Mus musculus: one gene and its partner. The protein of the gene in region 1 purifies or fractionates together with the protein of each later gene. This does not show direct contact. Links are inferred from orthologs where the notes say so. Each region holds a gene or a part of one and is shown in the gene's direction. Other genes may lie near its edges.

Evidence for each region.
Region 2: the proteins of Cabin1 (region 1) and Ubn1 purify together in Homo sapiens (affinity purification with western blotting; 6 studies listed by BioGRID, with this or other methods). This does not show direct contact. The link is inferred for Mus musculus from reciprocal best matches to the Homo sapiens genes CABIN1 and UBN1.

Annotation. Positions count from the first base shown.
Region 1 is NC_000076.6:75,754,254-75,758,070, reverse strand, and holds part of Cabin1 (calcineurin-binding protein cabin-1), read left to right. Parts: intron 1-2,570; 5' UTR 2,571-2,699; coding exon 2,700-2,702; intron 2,703-3,166; coding exon 3,167-3,259; intron 3,260-3,706; coding exon 3,707-3,817. UniProt on the Homo sapiens protein: May be required for replication-independent chromatin assembly. May serve as a negative regulator of T-cell receptor (TCR) signaling via inhibition of calcineurin. Inhibition of activated calcineurin is dependent on both PKC and calcium signals.
Region 2 is NC_000082.6:5,081,054-5,084,236, forward strand, and holds part of Ubn1 (ubinuclein-1), read left to right. Parts: intron 1-364; coding exon 365-608; intron 609-840; coding exon 841-930; intron 931-3,002; coding exon 3,003-3,052; 3' UTR 3,053-3,183. UniProt on the Homo sapiens protein: Acts as a novel regulator of senescence. Involved in the formation of senescence-associated heterochromatin foci (SAHF), which represses expression of proliferation-promoting genes. Binds to proliferation-promoting genes.

The DNA of each region.
Region 1 (3,817 bases):
TGAGGTTTCTGATTTTTAGTTATGCATATGGATATGCGTGCATGTGCAAATGGGTGCAGGTGCCCCTGGAGGCCAGAAGAGGGCGTCAGAGCTTCTGGAGCTAGAGTTACAGGTGGTTGTGAGTTGCCTGACATGGGAACCGAGCTGTGTCCTCTACAGCAGCTGAGTACTCTAGCACCGAACTCTCGGGTCCCAGCCCGGTTCTCTCTCAACACTGTTACAAAATTCAGGGTTAGTTTTGGAGGGTATAAATAGTACTCTAGCCACAGAACTCTCCAGTCACCCCTTCTTTGTTTTGAGCACACTGTGTAAAAAACAGACGTGAAAGTTTGTTGTTGTTTTCATAAAATCTCAAACGTTCGATTTTGCCAATAAACTCTCCAGACAGGTGCTAGGGTGAAAGCCTGCTAGCCCAGAGAGGCAGAGAAAGCACCCAGCCTACCTTCCTCCACAGCTGATGTCCCAAAGAGAGAAACAAGTTCTCCTCCACCCTGGCTCAAAATCTCTCAAACTGAATGTCCCTCCCTTCTACTTCCCGTGTGTCTTTCTCTCTGTCCTCCTGACTTTCTCTCTGGTTTTCCTATATTCACTCCCTGTCATCTGGTTGCTTGCTCTTCCTCTTGATCACTGGTTGACTTTATTTAATCATGTTTACAGAAGTCAGAAAGCTCTTGGATTAAGAGTGTGCTAGGGCTGAGCCACACCATAACTATAAACAGGTTTTTCCAGTGAATAACAGAATCTCAGGGTTTACAGTGTGATCAAATATCCTGCAACAACAAATGTTTTTCTTTTATAATGCCAAAGACAATAATAATAAAATAATGATAATAGCAATAATTTCACAAGTTATGGCAGTTTCAGTGACACCAGTTTGGCAGGTGCTCCCACTTTCCTTGATAACCCTGGCTGAGGTGAACACAGATTGTTTTTTCTCATGCTAGTTACTAATATTAATTTTAGGGTACACATTATGAATTACACAGTGACCCTTTTGCTATGGTGACTGTCTCCATACAGGAGCATGCCTCTGGCAAAGGATCGCTTTCCTTCGCTCCTCTCCAGAGGAGAGAGGCTACAAACGCCTGGAGCAGAGCCCCAGTTCCTGCTTTATGCATGTGACATGTCCAGGTTGTTAGGAAATGACCGTGGTTTTAGCCGTGTGCAACTTGGGCGTTGGCTGCTTCACCTCCCTCTCTCAGCCTACAGGCAGAAAGCCAGGTTTCCAGGAGGTTGCTCCTCCTGTAGGAAGCAGAACCCAAAGTACCCTGAATCCAGGTGAGTGGGAAAAGCATCCAAAGGAGCACGCTCATAGGACGGACACATACATACCCACACACGCACACGCACGCACACACACGCGCGTGCGCGCACTTCATGGTTGCTGTCAAGGGTTAAGAGGCCACAGCAGAGTTTAAGAGGTTTCCTGAGAAGTAAAGAAGTTGATAAAACACAAATAGTCCACCTCTGTGGAAGCTGTTGTGAGTCAGACTGCTGCTGTCCTGGGTTTGAGAGCGAAGCTGCAGAGGGAGTGGGGAAAGGGCAGTACTGGGTCTGGGTGATCAAACGGAAACATGGACAGAAAGTCCAGACAAACAGGAGAGCAGGTTCTCAGTAGCTGGGACACAGATGAACTGAAGCTCCTGGCAAAGTTGGGAGTGGCCTGCCGGGCACACCAGGTGGTCAGGTGATGCGTTGGTAGGGGCTTTGCCAGTGCAGTGCTTGGTAGGTGCCAATCTTTTCCCTTAGTGTGGTGTGTCTGCTATATTCTTGGGCCTAGCTTTCCTGGTAAAACTTTACTATGCCCATGTGCTCCTACAGTCCCTAGGTCACCCCATACATTTATAGGGTGGCAACCTTTCTACTCTGTTATCTGTCTGTTATGTGGGCTGTGCTAGACAGATGTGTGGTTCCCATGTCCACCATGAATAGCCATCCTCCATTCTCAAAGTGGGAGTCAAAGCTGCTTATAAAACGGAGTCTCTGAGGGCCAGGCACAGCTTTAAAAAACCCGTATTTTATACCATGTAGACCAACTTGGAGCAGGGCACTCAGCCCTATGCCAGTGTTCTCCTTACCTGCTGATCTATTGTCTCTATTCCAGATGTGTCACATAACTGGATGCAGACAGTATTGACTGTTTTGCACATGACATCGTTTATTTAGCTTGGTTTTAAAGGTTCCTTCATGTTGCAGCATACATTATTTGTTATGAATGGACATTGTTTCTTTACAGATTTTCCCCATTTTATTTATCAGTTTTTAGCTATTGTGTGACCCCACCTTTAGCTCTTGAATACTGCTGCTGTGTCCATTTATAACCAAGTTTTGGTGTGGACATGTTTTCCTCTGAGTAGATGCATAGGAGTGGAGTTCCGGATCATATGCTAATTCTGTCTGAGATTTTGAGAAAGTGCCAATATGTTTTCCTTAGGGGCTGTTTCATATTTCCAGGAGCAACATAGGAAGTTCTAATTTCTCTACTGTCTTACCGATCCCATCATCATTTATAGTCTTCAAACTGGTTTATTTCCTGTTTTGTTTTTCCCTTCCTTATATTTCTCACACAGGTGGGCCTGAGCACTGTGCCGTTCCGTTCCTGGCTCCTCCTGAACCCTTCTGTCCTGTTTGCTCTGCAGGGGACTGTCGTGTCCCAGGGATGGGAAGTGATCCTCCGTGGTGGTGCTGAATCTCTGAATATGGTAAGACCTGATCCCTGCCTAAGTTGTTGGTGACAGTGTTGTTTGTCACTCTGCTCCTGGGGGCTAGGGGCATTTTTCCTGTGCAGCCTTTCTCCAGGAAGGCTGTTGGTACACCAGTGGGTGAGGATGCTTGTCTGGCTGTTGCTTGTAAGTCTTTAGTCATACTTGTAGGAAAGACACAAAATTGATGTTTTATTGGAATTGTTACTCTAATACCCAGGTCTTCTATGTTGAGTAGAAACTGGGGCTCCCAGCCTCTGTTCCTTTGAGGTGGACAGTATCCAGGATATACTTTCCACTCTTGCTGGGTATTGTCCCATCGACGGATTCACATCCTGGTTTTTTCCTCAGATGATTGTTGGTGGTTCTTCCTCCATAGTTTTTCATAGCCTAGAATAAATATTCTGAAGCATAATTGTATTCATCTGAGCACTGTGCTGCTATTCCTCTGAATTCCTTCCTAGATTCGAATTGCAGCCTTAAATGCCAGCTCCACGATTGAGGATGACCATGAAGGAAGCTTCAAAAGTCACAAAATCCAGACAAAGGAGGCTCAGGTATGCACTCTGAGGTCTGCTTCCGAGGAAGCTCCTGCTGCTCAGCTTAAATGAATCCCTTGTGTCCTCAGAGGAGTTGTAAGGGGGATGGCGCGCTGCAGACGGCCGCCTCTCCACCTCAGGTCGGACTTGTTTCCCTCGGGAGATGGTCATGCTGAAGAACTAACTGAATGCTCTTTGTGTTGTTGCCTTTTACCTACCACCTGCCCTCCCCCTTGTGTGTGCGTGCGTGCGTGTGCACACGGGACTCTACAGTAATGAGGTCTGAGCACTGAGTAGTAGATTTTCTTTGACTGCAGAGGCTGTAGCTGACAGCTTAGCAGTCACTCAGAGCCTCCCTTTGCGTACATTTGGATGTGAAAGGCTCTGTTCTGTGTGCTGGGAAGACGTCTCCACGTGAAAGGCTCTGCTCTGGGTGGTGTGACGTCATCTCCTTCTTGGTTGCAGGAAGCAGAAGCCTTTGCCCTATACCACAAGGCCCTGGATCTACAAAAACATGACAGGTTCGAGGAGTCCGCCAAGGCCTACCACGAGCTTCTGGAGGCTCGCCTGCTGCGG
Region 2 (3,183 bases), on another chromosome or scaffold:
CATGTGCCACCACTGCTGGGCTTTAGTTGGATCTTTTTAAATGAGAAACTTGCCACACTGTTTATATTTATGGAAGCTTTGGTTTTATCTAGAATTAAAATTTATCACGGAGATAACTTTTTTATTTATTTTATGTGTATAAGTGTTTTGTCTGCATGTGTATTGTATATGAACCATGTGCATACCTGGTACCCACAGAGGCCAGAAAAGGGTGTTGGAACCCTTGGGAATGTAGCTAAAATTACCTCTGTACCCTGGAATCCCCTAGATGCTGGCTCATAGAGACTTCCTAATTCCTCCTTTGGGTGCTAAGTAGTAGGTTCTTTCACAGGGTAGGTTCTGACTGTGTGTGTTTCCTCCCCAGAAAGGAACTGGCGGGGCAGTGCTGCTGTCCAACACCTCTTCCTTAAGCCTGCTGTCTTCATCCTATAAGTCCAACAACCCCAAGCTTCCAGGGGCTATGAACTCAAACTCACTGGGAATCATAACCCAATTTCCACTTCATGTACTCTCCTTCAATGCAGACTCCTCTGCCAAAGCAGGAGTCTCTAAGGATGCCATTGTCACAGGTCCAGCCCCTGGGACCTTCCACCATGGCCTCAGCCACAGTAAGTTCTTGTCTCCTGCCTCTGTTCCTATGTTGTGTGCCATGTTGGGTCCTGTATGTGTTTGGTGTAACCATGGGAACATCCCCCACCTCTGGAAGCTGCATAGTACCCGGGATAGCTGTTTTGTTCCAGACTGGTCTGCAGGTTGCCTGGGGCTCTAGATCTCCCAAACTGCTTTTCTGTTCTGTCTTCAATGTGTGTGTTTTGTTCTCTCCCCTCCTGTTTCTCTCAGGTCTTCTGGCTGGTTTGCACTCCAGCCCACCCCACACAGCGCCTCTCCCACATGCTGCTGTGTCTACCCATGTCCCACAGAGCCTGCCAGGTAAATGCCAGGTGGGCAGCGTGCTGTGCACTCTGTGCGCCACACTCCTCCACCCGTAGGTGCTTTGCTGCTGGCGCTATTAGCCATCTCTGCCTTATCATCTCTGTTTTGTATTTTGCTTTGTATTTTGAGGCTATGGCTTTTTGGGTTCCAGAATAATACAGGCCTATACTACCAGAGACTTTCCCTGGTTTCTTATTGGACTGGTCATTGGGTCAGACTTAGCCTGTGTGACGCTATATGATGGAGCATGAGCATGAAACAGGTGTTCCAACCCTAATGCATTTAAAGAGAAGAAAGGTAATGGTGTTACTTGTCCAGAGGTTAACCAAGCACTTTAGAGCCTTTATGGTGCAATGCTACATAACCTCCAGGCATTGTCAGATGGTAGAGACTCTTTGAAAGAGTGTAAGTATCCATAGGACAGTGAGAGGCCATAGTACATGATTGTGAAGGAAAGGCCTCGATCTCTGAAGCTGGCACAGCTCTGAAACAGAAGCAGCTTTTAGGCCTCCCTGGTGTAAGCTCCCTTGAAACAGATTGGGAAGCACACCTGCAATGAGGCCAGGGCCTCCTGACAGAATGGGGCTTTTGGAAGTAGGCAGTTCTAAGAGCCCTGAGTACATTGTGAGCTCAAGAGCATGAGAATAGTTATAGATACTTCATGAAATTTTGGCTTAAAGAACCCTATGAGAGCCAGGCATGGTGGCACACGCCTTTAATCCCAGCACTTGGGAGGCAGAAGCAGGTGGATTTCTGAGTTCGAGGCCAGCCTGGTCTACAAAGTGAGTTTGTAGCCAGGACTACACAGAGAGAAACCTTGTCTTGAAAAACCAAAAAAAAAAAAAAAAAAAAAAAAAAAAAAGAACTCTGTGAGAACCTGATTTTGACCTAGTATTGTTAGTACTTTAGACCTGTTTCAACCAGGTCCCTGGGCTATCAGGAGAGAAAGGCTGAATTTAGGGCAGGAGTCAGATGCAGACTCTAGGGATGAATCCGTGACCTGCTCATGGACAGTGTGGGTCCATAGCTCATTGTCTGCTTTAGGATCTGTCTGTGAGCTCCTTGCATTCATGTCCTAAAGCTGGGAACTCTGTAGTGAGTGGATGTCAGAGGCCTTGTTAGGATGAGGGTGAGTTTGCATTTCTCAGAGGGAAACCTTTGGACCTTTGAAGAGCAAAGCAAGTAGCAGTAGTCAATTCTTTGAAGAAGCAGTCACACCTGAGGACTTCCTCTGCATGGGTGGGTGGCTACCATTTGAGTGAAGTGCAATGTGGGTGTCTCCCAGCTATGGAGAGCCTGTGTGCTGTGAAAAATGAGATGGTGCCACCTCTACCTGCTTTGAAAATGACCTTTTTTGAGAGAAACAAAGTAATTGAAGAGAGACTGGAAACAGTTTCTGCATCTGTAGAATTTTCAGCAACAAAGGGCAGAGGGACACTGATAGAAAGGAAAAGAAAAAAACATTTCTTGGACCATTTTTATGTTTCCCTCCCCTGGTCTTCCAAAGCTATCAGAAGAGTTACGGATGTCGCTCAGTGGTTGAGCACTTGCCTAGCATATATAAAGCCCTGTCTCATTACCAGTACCTCAAGGAGAAAGAGAAAAACTATGGGGCAGTCAGAAGAGCATCCATGCAAAATGGGCTAGCAGACTGAACTTCATTTTGAGCTGTGCTACAGTGTGGGGCTCTGTAGGGCTGTCAGGGAGTACTCTATCTAGCAGTGAGCTGAGGCTTGCTTCCGTTCTGCTTTCCCTTCCATGTGGATTTGATGCTTACCTTTGTCTTTGTACCTCTGATACCTGAGTACATTTTGATGGCAAGAGAATGAACATTGTCTGGATTCTGTGTGGTCGTCATGTTGCAGAGTGCCTGTTCTGTAAACGGGCTCAATGGCCTCCTGCCTGAGAAGTGCTGGTGCTCATGCATGACACAGGATGCTGCAAGTAGCAATGCACACAGCTGCTGTCGGGGGACATTGCTGCTTCTGTTTCCTGTGAAGTTTGTTTATGCTGTCTAAAAGGAATTGGAGCACTTAAAGAATGATCTGATTTCACTTATTCTTTTCCAGATGCTTCACAGCTTCATGGTAAAGGGCCTGTTGTACCGAGGAAATTGTGACCACTTTGGAGGATGGAACTGAATGACATAGGTCTAGGAGGAAGCCCAACATGTATGTCTCTGATAACAGACATTTGCTGTGCTCTTCATGCCCACTGCTTTTCTTCTGGAGCAGGCGTGAGTTTGAAATG